Ovis aries: one gene and its partner. The protein of the gene in region 2 purifies or fractionates together with the protein of the main gene of each other region. This does not show direct contact. Links are inferred from orthologs where the notes say so. Each region holds a gene or a part of one and is shown on either strand. Other genes may lie near its edges. The genes, in order: PLCG1 and KHDRBS1.

Region 1 (9,607 bases), on a different chromosome or scaffold from region 2:
TGTGGGGATGCTGCTATTTCTAAGATGCAAATTGCACATTTCCTAGATTTTATATCTGTGGATTTGGATAAGGGAGGGGAACAGGGCCAAACTGCTTGTACAATTTGAAATGGGCCGAAATGGTACTTTAAATCTTTTGATTGCTCCTAAATAAAAATGTAAATACATTTCAAACCTGTGGACTGTTTTGTGGGGGAATCAGAAAAAAAGCTGAGAACACTGACATCTCTGGACTTACTCTGTAGGCAAGACCAGCAACTTGGAGGGACGAGCAGTGCAGTTTCCCTCGGGCGCTCCGGGTAAGTTCCAGCTCGCCGTGTCCAGCCGGCTGGGTCACTAGATAAAGGACTGCAGCACCCATGGACTCATGCTAAACAGAGGGAAACTGAGTCAGACCTAGAGCTGTCAGGCATCCAGTGAGAAGACACTTCCTGGAGGAAAATACTGAGAAACTTGTCATTTGCTAAGGAGAGATTGGCAAATGAGCCTAAAGCCCTGGGGCCTTGAAGGAACAGGATTAAAGCCCAGCCTCTAATGTTCACAGTGATTGAACCTTACAGGGGATCCTAAAGGCCTGTGCCAAAAGGGAAAAAGGACCCTTGAAAAAGCCCCAGGGGCAGAGAGATAGTAAGGAGGGATCCCAGGTGGATCCCAGGTCCTGGTCCTGACCTGGCCCTTCTGGAGGTGACCTAAGTCTTAGGGAAGGAACTTTGTGTGGAATCTAAAAGAAGTCTACGGGAGAAAGACCAGCTGAGTGTAGAACCTGAACAGCCGACCCACGGTAGCTGCAGGCTCGGCCGCTCGCGTGGACGGAGTGGACAGCAGGGGTGGCCAGGGGTCACTGCGGGTGTCCTGAGGCAGCTGCAGAGGCCTCCAGCAGGGAACAGAACCCTGGTCAGGTCCCGGAAGGGCCACTGAGGGCCCTCGGGCTGAGACCAGACTTGGTCAGTTTAACTGATGTGACCTTGTTTTGTTCCACGAGCTCCTTTGGTGCAGTGACCTAATGCCACTTGAGTTGTTTTTCCCCCAAGAACTGAAATGGTGGGAGGGGATGAACTCAAGCTGAAAGGCTAGTGAGTGTCCAGCCCCAGGCCCAGCCTTGGGCAATGATGTTCAGGATGTGCCTGGTCAGGAGGGAGGCCCTGCCCTCAGCACCAAGACCACAGATCCTTGTCAAGGGTGGTGTCCCTGGCTGAGGTCAGAAACCACTCAGGCCTCCTCCTGGCAGGAAAGGTGGGGGTGGGGGGGCAGGGGTTGGGGGTTGCTCTGGATGCAGAAAGCCCCTGCTCTTGCAGTCGGTGCTGTGTGTGAGCAGGTGGAGAAGCAGGCTACTCCCCACTGCGGGCCAGGACACTTCCGCCTGAAGTGAGGGCCTCCCCACAGCCCCCACCCCCATGCTGGGCCTCCTGGTCACTCAACCATTGTCAGGTCTGGAGGAATTCGGGTTAAGCTCAATCTGTGGATCTGCTCGAATCTGCTGCCACATTTTCTGCTAGGAAGAAGGATCAAGAAACTTACAGGGAAGGGCGAAGGCAGGTGTCTCCTCCAGTCAGTGGGGCTGCCCAACAGCAGAGCCAGTGACGGAGCAGGCCCACTGGGTAAAATCAAAGTGGGCAGGCCCATGACAGCGCACCCGGGCCCCAGCCCAGGCCCCACCCACCCACCACCTCTTCCACCGCTGGTCAGCAAAGCTCGCTCCTGCCCGCGAAAATCTGGGAACACACGGGTCAGGAAGACTGCGTTAATCCCTGCCTACCACCTTCTTGTCCGAGGGGGAAGACATCCTTCTCCGAGTCAGACCACGAAGCGCCAAGAAAGCTGAGGCGACAGTGAGAACCTGAGCAGGGCTTTTGGCTACATCTAGTTCAGGGACAACAGGAAGGATCTCAAACTGTGATCCCAGTTCTCCAAGTGGATGGTGCTCAGAGGGGCCTGCAATGGACCAGGACTGGCCCCAAATCTGAGAACTTGGGAAATGCATGTCTTGGTCTGACTTGTCATATAGGAAAGGGATACTCTGAACTGTTAACTCTATAAAAAACCTGCCTTGAGCTCATCTTCAAAACCTTCAGCCTCTCCAAAGCCAGGGACCATACTTGCATCCCTACATACTTGCACACACCAGGGCCATATGTCACATGAGGACCATTTTAAGAACCAACTGATTACACTTACCTGTGTCTCTTCAACAATCACCCTCAGGCTTCCTGGGCTGGCATATTACGCCCATCCCCACCCATGCATCCAACAGGGAGGCAGCTTTCTTCTCTGTACAGCATCATTTTTGATCCACCAGCACACACCACTACAAAAACAGCCACAGGAAGGGAAGGGCAGGGCCCTTTAAACCATATTCTAGGCACAAAGACTTCGGCCCCAAGCTCTAGATGCAACCCGAGTATAACCCAGAAACCTACACTTGAATGCTGTGTGGGCCTTGTTTTTAAAGGAGCAGTTTCTGCAGAACTGGGAAGGGACTCTGGCTGCTTGCAGGCGGGCAGCACTCTACGCTGCCTCACGCTCGGCACGTGAGCTGGGGGAGAGGGTGGCCTCACACCGCGTCACAGCTCAGAGGGAAGGTCTGCTGGACCTGGGAAGTAAAAAACCTCCTCACCTGCTTCTATTGCAGAATAACCACCAGGCAAGCAGCCCTGGTTAACACGTCTCTGGAGAGGAGCAGGTGTTCCCGCGCCTCAGAAAGAACTCAAAAGTTACAGGATAAAAGACATGAGAATAACTTTGTGTGGCAGTTAGATCTTAAGTGGGCAGCGTAGCGAACGACCAGCCTCAAGCCTGGGTTTGGCGGCAGGTTGGCGCGAGCTCAGGGCTGGCTGTTCTAAGGCACCTTCGTGCCCACAGGCTGGGTCTCTGGCCCCTGTCCTTTGAAGTGGGGCTGCGCCCCTCCAGCCTTCCACACCTGCCTTGGATCTTTCCACCAGCCGGGCAGAACCTGCCATGGGTGCAGCAGGGTCCATCAATAACCAATGGCCTGTGCCCTGCAAAGCCGGCGGCTCCTTCATTCCTCCTTCTTCCTGAGGGATAGCATCTCGCGTCATCTTTGCCTTTAAAGAAACCTGCGTCATCGGCTGGCTTTGCTCCGCGTCCTCGCCTCCCGCCCCTCGCCCACCAAGGCTGAGCAGCAGGAAGAGCAGAACGTCATCATGGTGCCACTGAGAAGTAATTCCACTTTTTACAGTCCTTTTCAGAAGGAAAGCTTTTTCAATAAAATTTAAAATTTTTATTAACATTTAAATTATAAACGAAACGTTGGCAACCATATATAGACATGTTTGCTATGGACAGCTGATTGGGAGGTGGTACTGTGAAATACCATTTCAGAATTAGTTTAAATAAATCAATACGTTTTCTGAGAAACTGTGTGATTTCCTTCGGTTTACAGTTCATGATATGGAAAGTTTTAATATAATGTTAAATAATTTATTGTCTATCCTAAAAGCTATAGAAAATGGAATCACTATTGGGATCAGATAATAACAAGGCTTGAATGGCTCAGTGGTTCTTCTGAAGAGTATATAGAAATCTTAAAAAGGTAACACTGGTAACTGAGCTGTAAATCCGTAAAAATAACAGGTCTGCCACAGTGTGCAGATAAGTTCGTTCATTTTGCTTCCCCAGTCCCATCCCCCCACCAAGCAGCTTTCAGGTCAGAAGTGGAAGACATAGAAAATCATACATCCTACATGAAGGAATGAAGGTCGTGAGAGACAGAGTGTGCAAAAATAAACTTTACAAGTCCATACTCCAACATCACGTCCATCTATTGTCAGGACCTGATTGACTTCACAAACACTCAAGATCACCCAGACAGCGTCCTCTTGCAGGGTCGTCTGGCAGACTCTGATCCAAGGTGTCTTGCTGTGACAGGGAAAATGGTCTTCACTCTGATTTGGGACTCACGGCTGGCCTGCTGAGCTGCTGTGGACGGACATGTTCCTTTTGAGAGGGCGTTTCCTGAACGTGTGGCGGCCAGTGCCCAGCTGGACCTCTGCTGTGGGGACTGGCCTTTCCACTCTGGGCCCATAGGTGCCCATCAGTCCTGACCCAGCTGGCGTCTTGCTCTGGCTCTTGGGGGGCCGTGACGCAAACACAGGCACGTCCTCACTGATGATGTGGGAGGAGCCGCCTGCTGCCCAGTGCCCACAGACATGTGCCCCCTGGTGAGCGGGTCCTTCAGGCTTGCGCCCAGGCTGCAGGCAGGGGGCACTGCGGCCCAGTGGGTGCCCCAGGGCCGCTGTCCTCCCATGGCCCCGAGGCGCTGCAGCTGTGGCCCTGCAACCCGCTATCGCTCTCTCTGTCCCAGGTGGCACCCTGGGCCACCTCAGGCTCCTCCACAGGCCCCTCATGGCCTGGCTGCCCGATACTGCTGCCCTGCACACGAGGCTCTGTGTCAGTCAGGTGGGTGGCGCTCCTGGTCATGGGCAGCGTGCCCTTGTGCTGTACCCTGCTCTCCAGGCAGGCCCTGTGCTCCTCCGCCCGGGCTCCAGGACACCTCCCCTCCCTCCCTGCCTGGCTGGGGTTTAAAGCTGCAGGACTGTGTAAACGTTGACTCCGGAGCCCAGCGAGGCTGCTGTTGCTCCGCTCCTCTCAGGAATGTCAGCGGCTCCTGAGCCTCCTGTGCGGCCAGCTGAGGCAGCCTCTCTCTCCGAGAGGCAGTGGCCGTGGTAGTCCCAAGACGGAAGGCTCCATCCCCAGAAGGCAGGGCCAGGTGTGTGTGCTTCAAGGCCAGACAGTACAGTTTTTTGCCTTCACCCAAGGCTGGGACGTGGAGGCCCAGAATAGGAATACATCTCATTAATGGCGTGCTTTTCGTCTAGCGTCCACTGCTGGAATCCGGGCTCTAGGTGGCGAGGCCAGGAAGGGCGGCCCCATAGGCCACTTCCCTGGAACCAGTCCACGGCCCCCTCTCCGTGCGCAGCACGGCACCTGCTGCTCTCCGCGAGGCTGGGGCACAGCTAGAGGCGGTTGTCTCCGTTGACCCGAGTCCTGCGCGGGGCCCTGGGCAGGAGGAAGAGCATCCTGACGGGCAGCAGGTTGAGGCCCAGGGGGATGGGCGAGGGGAACTGAGGGCAGCCAGCCACCCCCTCAGCCTCTCAGGACCCCTTCTCCAGGCCACCTTGCCCCCACCCCTCACCTGCGATCCCGACCGTCAAAATGGTCTGCGAGATGCTCCTGGGAGATACGGAAGTCCTCAAAGGGCTGCTGGTAGCGAGCTTCGAAGGAGCCCTCCCGGGCTCGGCCGTGGGACAGTGGGCCCGAGTCGCAGCTCCGCTCCCGCAGGGACGCACCCCCGAAGGGGCAGAGGTCGCCGTTCTCCTGCTTCGGCAGGGACACAGGGCTCAGTGGCTGCCGGGCCCCGCACCGCCCCTCTGCCCGCCCGCCCGCCGGTACCTTGGCGGGGAAGACGTCAATCTTGACGAGCAGGGAGGCCAGCTCCAGGCCCTCACTGTAGTTGTTCTTCAGAGGCACCGCTCTGTAGCCTGGGGGGAGGAGGCTTGGCCCTTAGCCCAGGGGGACGCCAGCAAGCTGCCCCACCCCTGAGCCGGATCACGGTGGGCACGGCGTGGAGGAAGGGCCCTCACCTGTCTTCAGACCCTTCACCGGGAAGGTAGCCTGAGCCAGGAAGTTCTGGTCACTAAACATGTCCTCCTCATAGACCACAAAGCGCAGGAAGGCGAACTCGGGGTTACTGATCTGGAAGTGGAAGGGCTTGGCTGGCCACACAGGGTTCAGTCCATTGTCCACTGCAAAAGCAAGGGCAGAAGGCCTCAGGCCACTGCCGGGAGGATGGAGTCACAGGCGCAGGGGGTCTGACATGCCCGGGGGTGTGGGGAGGGGAGACGTACCCACAAACTCCGTCTTCTGCTTGATGCTGTCATACTCGGCTCCAGCCACCTCGATCTCCACAAAAGGACACACGATGCCTCGGCCGTTCTTCGGCAGGTGCCGGGCCCCCAGTACCTGTAAGGCAGGCAAGGATGGGCCTGGGCTGGTCCTTCCGACTCACACCCGGTCCCCAATGAGCGGCGGAGGCAGTGCGCCCTCTGCTGGGCCCTCAGGACACTGCCCAGAAGTCCCATGTGAGTCTTTGCACTCTAACCTACCTTAAATCCATGTGCATTTTAATACGAAAATGTTTAAATTACTTCCCCCCGGGACAAAAAAGTAGAAATCTCTGGAAAAAAGACATGGTCACCCCCACTCTGTCCTCGTTTCTCCTTTGAGACCCACTCGGGCCCACACCCCCTGCACCCCACAGCACCAAGCCGCCCGCATCACAGCTGCTCCCCTGGGGCCTCGAGAGGGTGGCATGGGAGCTCAGTGCTGTTCAAGCCCCCGTTCTAGCAAGTACCATCAAGCCGATTCCTGTGGCAGGGGCACCAGTTCCCTGCCTGTCTCTGCCCACTCCTGCCAGGCAGTGGCTATCCACGGTTTGGTATTACTGGACCGCATGACTCCCGAGTGCCAAGAACTGGCCACACTGAGCCCAGTCCTCTGGTGCAGGCCTGAAGCCCCACGCCCACCTCAGAGAATGGCTTCGTCTCCCTCAAGCTCCAGGATTGTCCAGCACCCCTCCCATGTCACGTTAGCCAGCCCCCCGGCCCTGGCGCCTAGAACCAGCCCAGGAGAGCGCCCCCTTCCCACCTCGATGCAGATGGCGCACGGCTCCAGCCCGCGGAGGCTGCTCTTGTCAAAGGGATCGAAGGCCTCATCGCGCATGACATTGGGCTGCAGCACATAGCCGCAGTGCCCGCCAGCCAGGAACAGGGCCTGGTTCATCTGCATGGGCTTGTCTGCAAGAGCGGGTTACAGTGGACTCCAGCCCCAGTGCCCGGCAGGACCCTGCCCCCGGCCGCTGCCTCACCTGGGGTCTGGAAGTTGAGGGCCACAAGCTGGCTGCCGCAGATCCACATGGGCAGGGGGTCGTAATTGGAGGAGTCCAGCCGCTGACCCTTAGGGTAGATGCGGGAGAGCTGCAGGCGGTTGTACTGGAGGAACTTCTTGCCTTTGGCCTTGTTTACGTACTTCTCGGCCTTGGTCTCCGGGAAGGATGACATGTCACGGTAGCAGGCGCGTTCGGTGCCAATCTCTGGGCCCAACAGGGAGCGCGCTCAGAGTCCGCCCATCCAGGTGCTGCTGGGGCCAGCCCCCTCCCAACCCCGGGCTGGACCCTTACTCTCTTCATCGAAGGGGACAGGCCGGCAGTAGACGACGAGCTCTGAGAGCTCCAGAGCGATCTTCTTCCTCCGCTCCATCATCTTGCCCTCGGTGAGCTGGGGACACATGGGCCCTGAGCCCGGGCTGGAGCCCCCAGAGAGAGGAGCCCCCGGCCACCTTGGGCATGCCCACTCGCACCTTCCAGACCCGGCTGTCCTCAGTCACACCCCAGAAACCGTCCTGAGGACAACACACCCTCCCAGCTTCAGAGGCCGGGATCCTCACACCACCTGCGCCTCAGAGACACTTCAGGGCGCTGGGCCGGCTGCACCTCAGGGCTACTTGGTCCTCAGCTCTGGGCCTGCCACGGGCACTGACTGCACTGGGAACGTGGGCGCAGTCCTCTGGGTCCTTGGGACCATCCTTCCAGCCCTGGCCCAGAAGCCTCACCTCTCACCTCGCAGTTCTCCTTTCTCAAAACCACCACCTACCCGCCACGGCCAGACTTCAGCCCCAGCACATCCCTCACTAGCACCCCGTGCGGCCCTCGGACTCGTGGAGGCCCGCTTCCTTCCAGAAGCAGCTCCTGTTCTCGAGCTCTTCCTTCCCTCCATAGCCCAGACCCCAGGTTCCATCCCTTCAACCACCAGATCCTTCCAGCCTGGTCCTTCCAGGCCCTGCTCGACTCTAAGTCCTCCGCACCCAGCCCTCTCGGCTTGGCCTGCGGGCATCCTTTCTCCAAGGCAGCCACGGTGTGTCCCGCAGCCCCTCCACCCCACTGCAGGATTCCCACACCCCGGCCAGCACGCCCTCCTCTCACCTCTAAAAGCTGGTCCTTCCACCGCCCTGCTCTGCACAGGCGGCGCCCTTGCCCTCCACCAGCCGAGGCCCACTGCCATACCACCCAGCCGTGACCGCCCACGGCCACGGCCGTCTACAACCAGCACTTTGAGCTTCTGGCCCTGCTGTCTGCTCTGTGGCCCGCCTCACGTCAGACACCCGGCCTCACTGGTCTGCTCATCCTGGCCTCTTGTTTCTCAACACCTGCGTCCTCAGAGGTCACACTCTGCTCCCAACCTGTACCACGTCACCCTAAACCTTGGGCACCTACTCCTGCTTCCAGCCCAGGACCTAGCCTCTCGCCTCTACCCTTGACACCAACTGGTCACTACGCAGAGCCACTCAGGAACGTCTTGGGTATACCTCAAACTCAACACACCCCCAACATGCCACACTGCGGAGCACGTGTGTCCCTCCAGCCTCTGCCAAGCAGCGGGGGCTGCCCCGCGGCTGGAGGACCAGCACAGGCTCTCACCCTGGCGTCCGCCGTCTGCGCCACCTCCCGGATCTTCTTCACCCAGTCCTGAAGCTCCTCCTGTGAGTCGGCAGCCACGTCCAGGGACCAGTGTGCCACTGAGGCCATGCTGATGGAGAAGACGAACAGCCGGTTGTTCTTGCCCTCGGGACGGATGGCTGGAGGGAGGGAGGAGAGGAGAGGAGAGCTGGGGATACGGGGCTGAGCCCCCACCCCACCCCAAGCATGGGCAGAGCTCACTCCCTTCCTCTTCAGGGTGGAGGACGGGCAGCCCAGAGACAAGCCCCTGCCCCCACCTCTAAGCCTGTCTCAGCCAAGGACCAGCCCTCCAAGACCACGGACTTCAGCTCGCCAGCGGCATCATCCCCAGTGTCTGCACAGGGCGAGCACGCAGGCCTCAGAGCCGGGGGGCAGGGGATGGGGAGCCAGAGGGTGCCGAGGTGTCCGGGAGTGGGGAGAGCTCAGAACGAGGGCAGCCTGTGGGGCCCAACCCTCAGCTTCCTCTCTCTGGGCATGGAGAGAGCCACCAGGGACAGCCTGAACCTGAGGGGCAGAGAAAGGGCTGGGGCTCACCTATCTGACAAGCTGGCACATCCAGGACCCCCCGCAGCAAGTCCCCGAGCGGGCTGTTCTCGTCCAAGTGCTGAGGGAGGCAAAGCCCAGAGTCAGCAAGACTGCTGTGTGCACGAGGGGATGCCTGCATGCACGTGAGAAGTACACCCGACAGACGAACATGAAACCACATGCGTGCGGCCCGTGTTCATCAGACTGCGGCCTGCGTGTGGTGACGGGACCACGGGAGGGCTGTGCGCGTGCGGGGGGGTGGACGCCGTGCGGGAGGCTGAGCACGGGAATCCCCTCCCACCGACGTGGCCCTGCTCTCACCTCCCTCTCGGGCTCCAGGGCCGCCGGGCTGACCATTTCCTCCACGTAGTTTGAAGGGAACCACAGCTGCTTCTTCCCACCGTAGTCACCCCGCCACCTGTGGAAGCCGCAGGGTGCTGACCCCAGGGACCACCCCAAACTCCCGAGAGGAAGCAGCTCTGCGGGTGCATCGGGACCCACACGGGTCCTTGCCTCCCAAGCCCCTCTCGCGTGTACACGGCCAGCGCCCAA
Region 2 (10,080 bases):
CAATGGACATGAGTTTGAGTGAACTCCGGGAGTTGGTGATGGACAGGGAGGCCTGGCATGCTGTGATTCTTGGGGTTGCAAAGAGTCGGACACGACTGAGCGACTGAACTGAACTGAACTATCTTTAAATTACAGAAGATAGGGACTTCCTTGTTGGCCCAGTGGTTAAGACTCCATGTTGCCAGTGCAGAGGGCACAGATTTGATCCCTGCTTGGGGAACTAAGATCCCACATGCCCCTTGGCATGGCCAAAAATTTTTTTAAAATATGAAAGTTAGAAACACTGGAAATGTTGTATAAGGAGAACATTGTGTTAGAGTATTCCACTGATTTTAGGGCATATAAAAATTTGTTTTATTCTCAGTGGACCATAGTATAATGTTTTAGTTGCTAGTATTCATTGCCTCCATACTCTGCCCCATTTCTGTTAGTACTCCTTTTGTAGCTGTTAACTATTCTTCATTGCCAGCTTCGTATACTGGTACCCCTTGTATATAGACATAGTGGAGATTGGGACCATGTCTAACTGGTTGTGTGGTTTCTCCTATACTTTACAGGGCCAAGTGCCTGGTGCTTAGTGATCATGGTGCTTAGTGATCATACCTATATCTGTCCCTTCGTGTGCCTCACCATAGGAAGCGCTCAGACACTTGGAATCACTGAATAAATGAATGGAGTTTCCTAATGATAGGAATCGTTTGGGATACTAAGGTTCTAGCTGATGAAACTGTCTTAACCTGTGAATTGAAATTACCTTGGTGCATTTTTTCCTTTAGGACACTGAGTGAATTTGGGCTAGAGAGTGTTAAGTAGATATTAAAACACTTCTAAGAAATGTGCTTTTAGGACTTTACTGGTGGTCCAGTGGTGAAGACTCTGGACTTCTGCAGGGGACAGAACTAAGATGAGGGCAGAACTAAGATCCTGCATGGCCAAAAGGAAAAGCAGAAAGAAATGGGCTTTAATTAGCATATTTGCATATTTTATTTTATTTATTTGGCTGTGCCAGGTCTTAGTTGTGGCATACAGCATCTTTTTAATTGCCACATGCAAGATCTAGTTCCCTGACCAGGAATCAAACTCAGGCCCCACTGCATTGGGAGAAAGGAGTCCCAGCCACTGGAACACCAAGGCAGTCCCTCCATGTTACTTTATTCTGTCTTCATAGCAACCTCTTGAGGTAGATACTGCGTCCATTTTACAAATAAGGACATCAAAGTTCAGAGCAGTTAAACTTTTCAGAGTTCACACAACTAGTGAGTGGCAGAGTAAAACCCAGGTCTTTCAGACTTTGAAGGACTGCTACTATCCAAAGCACTACTGTTACAAAATTTTAATAGGACTCTCAGTTGTGTGTTTAAATTAACTTTGTCTCTTCATTAAGATACAGCTTTGGGGACTTACTTAGTGGTCTAGTGGTTAAGAATCCACCTGCCAATGCAGGGGACATGGGTTTGATCCAGCCAGGAAAATTCCACTTGCCTCAGGGCAACTAAGCCCGTGCACCACAACTGCTGAGCGCCCTCACCTTGGGGTTGTGCTCCACAGCAAGAGAAGCCACCACAATGAGAAGTAGAAGCACTGCAGCTGGAGAGTAGCCCCCGCTCACCACAGCTGGAGAAAGCCCAAGTGCAGCAACAAAGATCCAATGCAGCCAAAATACATAAGTAGAATAATAATAATAAAGATATGGCTTTGTACTTTTTCCTGATGCAGGTTTAAATTTTTTCCAGTTTGTTTATCCCCGTTTCCTCATCTCACTCCTGTCTAAAGAACATTGGACTGTCTCTGTAGAGGTTTCTGCTGAAAGTAGAAGAGCAAACTGCCCTTACTAGAAGGAGGCTTTGAGACTTCCCTGGTAGTCCAGTGGTTAAGACTCCAGACTTCCAATGCAGGGGATGAGGGTTCAATCCCTGGTCAGGGAACTAAGATCCCACATATGGCAAAGCAGCTAAGCCTGCAAGCCAAAACAAGAGAGAGTCATGTGCAGTGAAGGATCCCACATAACTCAGAGATCATCCCACATGCCACAACTGAGAGCCAGCATAGCCAAATAAAAAGAAGCAGGCTTTTGGTTTCCTAGTCAACTTCATCTAGCTTTGGTGCTGTCTTTATTTGAAATTAAGGCACTAGTCATCTGAACTATTCATTAATATTTGGTCTCATTACACAGTATTCCCTCTTACTGCTTTAAGTAGACTCAGAATTTTGCCTTTATTTAAAAGAACAAAGCTAAATTAAATTTCTGTTTGTCCTATTCAGAAATTGAGAAGATTCAGAAAGGGGATTCAAAAAAGGACGATGAGGAGAATTACTTGGATTTATTTTCTCACAAGAACATGAAGCTGAAGGAGAGGGTTCTGATACCTGTCAAGCAGTATCCCAAGGTAAGGGAAAGAGTGCCTCATTTCTTTGAATTGGCTTCGTAGTATGAGAATGTGTAGTATGTGGTGTGTCTTGTAGCACCAGCTGTAACAAAAGATTTGCAGAGGTTGTGGGCCTGGTGAAGGTTCTGTCCCATGCTTATAATGACTGTATCCAGCAGGCAAGACACACAGGCCTGCAACTAAGAGCATAGCTACAGCCAGGAAGGAAATGCGACCATCTTTTTATTATCAAAAAAGGAATTTCTTTCTCAAATGTTTGTTTAGCTTCAAGCTTAAAGGAAAAAAATTGAACCGTAATTGTTCTTTGTCGAAAGATTGAGCTGAAGTTTAAATAAAAGAAATACAACACAAATCCTTGTGACACAATGAATAAGTTAATTTTATTTCTTACTCAAAGTTTTTTTGCTCTTGTTTGTTTTTGATTTGGGGTATACTGCTTGTGGTATCTTAGTTCCCTGACCAGGAATGGAACCTGTGACCCTTGCAGTGGAAGCACATGGTTTTAACCAGTGAACCTCAAGGGAATTCCCAAAGTTTCACTTTTAAATAAATGGTTTCTACTACTACTCCTTTTATAAAAAAACAAACTAGTTTTAGTCAGACCAGTACTACCAAAGGGGGGTAACGTATGTCTGTTCTGTTCTAAAGTAACTGCCTTAAAAACGTTTATGTATGTTAAATTACAAAGAGTTGTGGAGTGATAATTTGGAAAGAACATCATACTACATCAGGAATTCAAGTTCCAGAACTGCCGCTTTGCAGTTTTGTGCCATGCCATGCTCAGTTGCTCACTCATGTCCAACTCATTGTGACTGTAGCCTGCCAGGCTCCTCTGTCCCTGGGGTTTTCCAGGCAAGAATACAGAAATAGGTTGCCGTTTTCTCCTCCAGGGGGTCTTTGCAACCCAGAGATTGAACCAGCATCTCCTGCATTGGCAGATGGATTCTTTACCACTGAGCCACCCAGGAAGCCTCTTTCCAGTTGTATAACCTTTGGCTAATCAATTTTATCAGTACCACTTCAGTATATCCTTCAGTAAAATGGGAGTGGTTAGTACTCTACTTCCTTTACAGGAAGTATTGAAGATAAATAATACATATAGAAATATTTTATAGGAACATACACATTTAGAAATCTGTCTTTATTTTCTATCAGTTCAATTTTGTGGGAAAGATCCTTGGACCACAGGGAAATACAATCAAAAGACTGCAAGAAGAGACTGGTGCAAAGATTTCTGTGTTGGGAAAAGGCTCAATGAGAGACAAAGCCAAGGTAAGCTCACATTAATGAGGCAAGAAGACACCCGAATGCCTTCCAGTAACCTAGAGTCCAGTATGGATACCTATGGAAGCTAGTTCTTACGTGTGTACTGAAAGTGATTCCCTTAAATTCGCATTGGATGTGAGAGATTGTAGACCAGTTAATTTACTTTGGCAACCCAAGAAGAACCTTGGTATGCCCTGGTGATTGTTTTCTTTCTGACTTGACTGTGTAGTAATGGAAATAGCAGTAGCAGCTTTGGCCTTTAGTAAGCTTATCTAGGAAAACTTGGAAGGGGAGGCTGAATGTACTGAAACTTACCCAGCTAAAGACACTAAATGTGAAGAGCATTCTGTTTCCAGTTAGTGTGGGAAAATGTGAGCAATAGTGTTGTGAGTGCAGGTGAGTTTGAAGATTAGTTGGCTGGTTTGTTTTATAGCCAGCTGGAATGTGAGGCATGCTAAAGGAAGATGTCACAGAAGGAACCATGAGAAATCCTGACAATAGAATCCAGAGCTTATTTTTCCCCAGGCCATAGCCCCGTATTCTTTATACTCTCTCTAAGTGTGGAGAAACTTCCCACCAAAATAAAATAGTCTTAGCTTTCTAGAATCAGCTTTTTAGATGGGATATAACCTGCTCCAGCCTAAAAACTTAACTCTTTCAGGCCTCCTTGTATGCAGCCTGATTGATGAGCATTTAGGGCTGAAGTATAATACTCTGTTTAATGAGGTGTACATGAGATTTTCTTCTATTGTGACTTTTTTCCTTCTCTATACAAGCAGATCAGAAGAGCTGGTGATTAACAGCTCTACCTGGGGTTTATTAATAAAAGCAAATGCTTGGCAATTAATGAATGAGTGGATGGATGCTTGGCAAACAGCCGTTATCCGAATGGAGACTGGAATTACATTTGTCTCTTCTGTGCCTTCTAATATGAGCTCCAATGAACACACCAGCAATTCAGAACAACAGCTTTTAGCAGCAGACCAATCGCAGGTTTAGCAGACTGTGTAAATTACTGTACTCCAGAGTTTACTTTTTTCTTACACTTTACTGGGTTTTTCTGAGGTGTTGGAGTCATTTCTTACTGTCCCTTTGGCCTAATGGTAAAGGTGTCATTTTCTACATAGTCCAAGTGATAATGTTGTTTCTGTGCATTTTTTCACAGGAGGAAGAGTTGCGCAAAGGTGGAGACCCCAAATATGCCCACTTGAATATGGATCTGCATGTCTTCATTGAAGTCTTTGGACCCCCATGTGAGGCTTATGCTCTTATGGCCCATGCTATGGAGGAAGTCAAGAAGTTTCTAGTACCAGTAAGGAAATCCATATCCTGTATCATTTGAGCAAGAGAAAACTAGGATCTTGTGCTTATTGCTAAGGCAGGGGTTCTTAACCAGGGTCTCTGCATAACCTGAAATTGCATATCCAATTCTGCATTTATGTTCATTTTTCTGAGGTAGTCCATTACTTGCACCTAGTTCTCAAACCACTGTGCCCCGAGGCCACTCTACCAGTCCTAGTTTTAATGTGATTTTAGTTGTATGCCAGTATCTTTTGTCAATATCTTGGATCCACAGTATGTCTTGGCATTCCAACATTTGGTTAACAAAGATTTAACAAGGTCTTCAATAAATTAAGTATTTTGGTGCTAGTATGGAACCAGGAGATTATGACAGGAAAATGGTGAAGGTGGTTGTAACCCCCCTGCAGTTAAGGGGTTATAGTATAGACTCCTGAGAGTCTAGATGATGATAACAGTATCATCTAGTCTGATGATGTGTTATCTGGCCTCCAGTGTTAATGGGTTAAATTCTGACCTGAGTGCATTCAAGACTCTGTCCTGGAGGAGTTTACTCAAGTAGAGTTGATTTGAAGGAGGCATGATGGTTGTAGGCGTTAACTGTTAATGACGTTAAACAGATTGGTATATAGCTTCTTTCAGAATGTATTTAAGGCCTTGGAAGAGTTGGAACAGACCAGGTTACCTGTCTTCCTTATTACCACCTGGTCAGAGGTTATTCATTCTTTGAATAAGTAGGAAATGATGACTTTTTGCCTTTTGACAAGACCTGGTAATTTTCAGAGTTAACATACTACTTAGTGTTCAATATTTAATAACCAAAGAAGACTCTGGGACCTTAGGAAGCATTTGGAGTACTATTCAACTAGAATTGAGTAAGCACCATAGTTTCATCACTGAGAAGAGATGATACATAGTTCTTGGTTTTCTTATACATGTAAAATGAGGGAGTTGGAACTGTCAGAGGCTGTGAGAATTGGCAGAGCAAAAATATATAGGCAGTGTGTCTCTATAATGCTGAGCTCCAAGGATTCCAGCACTGTCTCAAATGTCTAAGCTGCTCTGCTTCTAAGTATGTTGTCATTAGAATGTTCAGCTTGAAACAGCATATTTAAAATATCCTAGAAAAAACTCAGAGCTGGTAAATTTTCCCTTGAGGGGCTTCTTTACTCTTTGAGGTGTGTACTGAAGCATCCTGAGCCATCCGTTTTCTGAAGAACTGCAGAGGAATGCCCATCTTCTCTTTATCATTAATCTCAGCATATTTCTGAAAAGAGCTACATCTCCAAGACTTCCATGTAAGTGGGTCTTCAAAAAAGAAGCCTACCAAGGAGATCTGGGTTTCCTCAGTGTTGCTATGGCAGCTAGAGAAATCTGAGCAAATGGCCCATCACTGGTCACTTGATTCTCTAATGGGAGTCTCACGCAGTAGAAATGTGTAAGGTAGGAAGAGGTGAAGAGTCAGGGGGTGGAGGTGGAGGGAGCATCTCTGTGGCGACTAGAATCTTTTAGAAGCTGTATACACCTGGGATATATAAAAGTGCACTAAGTATTGAGACTGAATGACTCTCATCAGGAAATATGTGAAAAGATTTACAAATGGCATTTGACTCGGTTCTTCCTCCTTGTAAAGAAAACAGATGAGCCTGTTTTTGCATCTGTGACCAGAGCCCTCCGTTTTCCCCTTAGAGACTGGTACAGTAGGAAGAGCACTGGACTGGGAGCTTTATCTGAATCATCTTGGACAAGTTATTATATCACTTTTTTGAGCCTCAGTTTCCTTGTTCATCCCAAACATTTGTTAAGTATCTGGTAGGTGCTGAATACTATGCTTGGGTCTGAAGTTACAGAAATGGTTCTTGAAGAGGTTATAACCTAGTGAGAAAGACAGACAGACATTTTTTAAATGATGTGGTAAGTGCTTAGAGAAGATTACATTGTGCCATGGGAAAAGAGAGTGAGGAGTTGGCATCAAGAGAAAGTTTTTCAAAAGAGGTAATACTTTTGATTAAATCTTATAAGAATTAGAGTCCTTCAGGTGGACAAAAAAAGGCAACAATATATTGATTAATTGATACATTAATGATTCAAAGCCTTGATTTTGGAGATTCTGAATTAACATATAGAATCTGCCACTCACTAGCTCTATGTCTTTATATTGGTTGTTTTATGCTTTCTGAATCTGTTTTCCCAAATGGGAAGATCTGCCTACTTCAGGATTATTTTGAAGATTAAACTGAAAACCCTATGTAAGGCTTATTATATGGTACCCAGCTGTAGAGCTTAATTAATGGTAGTGGCTTTTATTATTCTAGGAAAAGGAAACTGTTTGCAAGAATGGATGTGTATGAGTATGCCGTGTTCTGAACTGCAAGTTGTTCAGCATGGCTTGAAAGGAGGTTATACATGGATAGAGGATGGAAGTGATCTGGAGAGCTAGGCAGGGACCACATCTTGGAAGAACTTCATCTGAACGATGAGGGGCCTACCATCAAGATTTTCCTCAAAGAGGTGACAGGTAGCGTGCCATTTGACTTCAGAGAATGAACAATCTGAGATTTCATCTGGGCTTTCAGAGTTATTCTTCACATCCAAGGCTCATGTGGGCTAGATGACTTCTCAGCAGAAGGTAGAGATGTTGCACAATACTCCCTCTCATTATCTTTTATCCACAGGATATGATGGATGATATCTGCCAGGAGCAATTTCTAGAGCTTTCCTACTTGAATGGAGTACCAGAGCCCTCCCGTGGACGTGGGGTGCCAGTGCGAGGCCGGGGAGCTGCACCACCTCCTCCACCTGTTCCCAGGTAAAAATAATAGAGACAGGTAGAAATGGGATGTAAATCTGACTGCTAGTACCATTTCTATCTTCCTGCTGCCCTTATCTCCAGCTTAGAAGGGGTCTCCGGATGTGTATGTTGCATCGAGAGTAGAGTTCTAGGGTGTTCCCTGGTGATCTAGTGGTTAGGATTTGGCACGTTCACTGCTGTGACCCAGGTTCAATCCCTAATCAGGGAAACTGAGATCCTGCAAGTCATGCGGCACAGCAAAAAAAAAAAAGTGGAATTTTAGATCTTGGTTACTTTGGCTGTAAGCAGGTGCAGCAGTCCTGCCAAAACTGGTGTTTGTTTTTAACTTTTGAACAGTTTTCAGCATTTTTAAATGGTATCTGACTTTAGAATTTTACCTTTGCTGACTGACCTTTATGGACTATTCAGACTCTTAAGACAGACTGTCCACTAATAATATATTAGCAGGTCCACCATGGGCCTGGGGAACCTTCCAGAATGGGTCCTTTACCTACCTACACGTCCCTCTGTGGTTTTGTTTTGTTTTGTTTTGGCTGTGCTGCACAGCTTGTGGGATCTTAACTCTAGGACCAGGAATTGAACCCTGGCCACAGGAGTGACAGCACTGAGCCTTAACCACTGGACCCCCAGGGAAGTCCCCATTCCTCTGTTTTGATAATAGTCAACTTAAGGCATCATAAAATCTCCTACCTGGCTCCAGAATTTTAAGACAAGTCTGAACATGAAAGTAGCCTATTTATTAAAAATATCCATTTAAAATACACTCTTTTTTACAGGGGCCGTGGCGTTGGGCCACCTCGGGGGGCTTTAGTGCGTGGTACACCAGTGAGAGGAGCCATCACGAGAGGTGCCACTGTGACTCGAGGGGTGCCACCCCCACCTACTGTGAGGGGTGCTCCAGCACCAAGGGCACGGACAGCAGGCATCCAGAGAATACCTTTGCCTCCGCCGCCTGCGCCAGAAACATATGAAGAATATGTAAGACGTTTGGACCATGTGCCATTTCTTAATAGCTAACAGATTGTCAAAGGAAGTTGAGTGACAGGGCCTTGGCCCTTGATGTAGGTGGCAGGAACTGCCTGTAAGGTTTAGAATCTGCCTTCTTCTGTTGCAGTGATTGTTAAACTATGAGAGAAGATTTTTCCATTTTAAGTATAATTTACTATATACATATGTAGATGAAACAGGAAATAAGCTGTGCCTTGATGTGTAGTGTTTTAATAAGGGGACTCCTCCTACTACTACTGATAATGCTGATAAAGTTCAACCTTGAACCTTATTTCCTGCCCAAGCTGAAAGGGTTTTTTTAATTTGATTGATCGTTTTCTAAACCTTTCTCTCTTGACTATTCCACAACAGATGTTAATACTTTAGAGGGAAATTCCATGTTCTGTTCATTCATAAGCCCTCCATATTGCCTTAGCTACTTTGTGTGATTTTGACTTTTTCTGTTTCATTTCGTTTGTAGGGATATGATGATACATACGCAGAACAGAGTTATGAAGGCTATGAAGGCTATTACAGCCAGAGCCAAGGGTGAGTCAGGCAGTGGAATTGCTGTTTCATGTCCTTGGGATATAGAGGGAGTTGGAAGAACTGGGAGATTTAGGCAGAACAAATCTAAGGAGCAGATGGATCACCTTTTCAGAGTGTTGCCTCTGCTTGTGACATCTGTAAGGCACACACCTGGATCTGCAGATTTGGAAAACTGTGAATCTTAAATTATAATGCTGAATCTGGGATTAGCATATGAAAAATTCCTTAGCTGTGACTACATGGGAACAAAGGGAAAATGCCTTAAAATTGTTTTGATTAGTTATTTTAAAATGTCACAACTACATTAAAGTTGCATAGAAGTTTAAAAGGGTACTAGATTCCCATTACTTAACTCAGATTTTTTCTGCTCTTTTTTTAAAAAACACGTTTTTGTGTATGTGTATATATGTGTCTAAACTGTGATGGGAAAGGCCTCTCATAATTCTGCAGTGGGGACAAGACAGTTCTTTTCATATTTGCTTATTCTCTTCCAGTGAGCCCTGTGAGTGTGTGTGTGTACACTGGTTAACACTGAGCTTTTTGGTTGAGCTTTTTCACTTTAAATTGTGTGCTATTCATTTTTCTTTGCTGTAGTTGTCATAATTTTTAAATGAGTATCCAGTATGTACATGTTTTGGAAATATTTTACGTTTGGAGATGGGGGTAGAATGAACTTTTGTTTGTTTTGCACCCTCAGTAAAATGACTAAAATATGGAAGCATTTGGGAGAAAGGTAAAACTGAAACATGGTTGCTGTATAGCTCTAATACTCTGTCTTTG

What was found.
Region 1: the proteins of KHDRBS1 (region 2) and PLCG1 purify together in Homo sapiens (affinity purification with western blotting; 7 studies listed by BioGRID and IntAct, with this or other methods). This does not show direct contact. The link is inferred for Ovis aries from reciprocal best matches to the Homo sapiens genes KHDRBS1 and PLCG1.

The regions. Positions count from the first base shown.
Region 1 is NC_056066.1:69,811,350-69,820,956, reverse strand, and holds the end of PLCG1 (1-phosphatidylinositol 4,5-bisphosphate phosphodiesterase gamma-1), read right to left. Parts: intron 9,474-9,607; coding exon 9,377-9,473; intron 9,135-9,376; coding exon 9,065-9,134; intron 8,650-9,064; coding exon 8,492-8,649; intron 7,293-8,491; coding exon 7,196-7,292; intron 7,109-7,195; coding exon 6,884-7,108; intron 6,813-6,883; coding exon 6,664-6,812; intron 5,980-6,663; coding exon 5,865-5,979; intron 5,763-5,864; coding exon 5,601-5,762; intron 5,499-5,600; coding exon 5,410-5,498; intron 5,338-5,409; coding exon 5,153-5,337; intron 5,017-5,152; coding exon 4,974-5,016; 3' UTR 3,216-4,973; downstream 1-3,215. UniProt on the Homo sapiens protein: Mediates the production of the second messenger molecules diacylglycerol (DAG) and inositol 1,4,5-trisphosphate (IP3). Plays an important role in the regulation of intracellular signaling cascades.
Region 2 is NC_056055.1:235,450,859-235,460,938, reverse strand, and holds part of KHDRBS1 (KH domain-containing, RNA-binding, signal transduction-associated protein 1), read left to right. Parts: intron 1-2,262; coding exon 2,263-2,387; intron 2,388-3,542; coding exon 3,543-3,659; intron 3,660-4,818; coding exon 4,819-4,965; intron 4,966-7,627; coding exon 7,628-7,761; intron 7,762-8,540; coding exon 8,541-8,742; intron 8,743-9,232; coding exon 9,233-9,300; intron 9,301-10,080. UniProt on the Homo sapiens protein: Recruited and tyrosine phosphorylated by several receptor systems, for example the T-cell, leptin and insulin receptors. Once phosphorylated, functions as an adapter protein in signal transduction cascades by binding to SH2 and SH3 domain-containing proteins.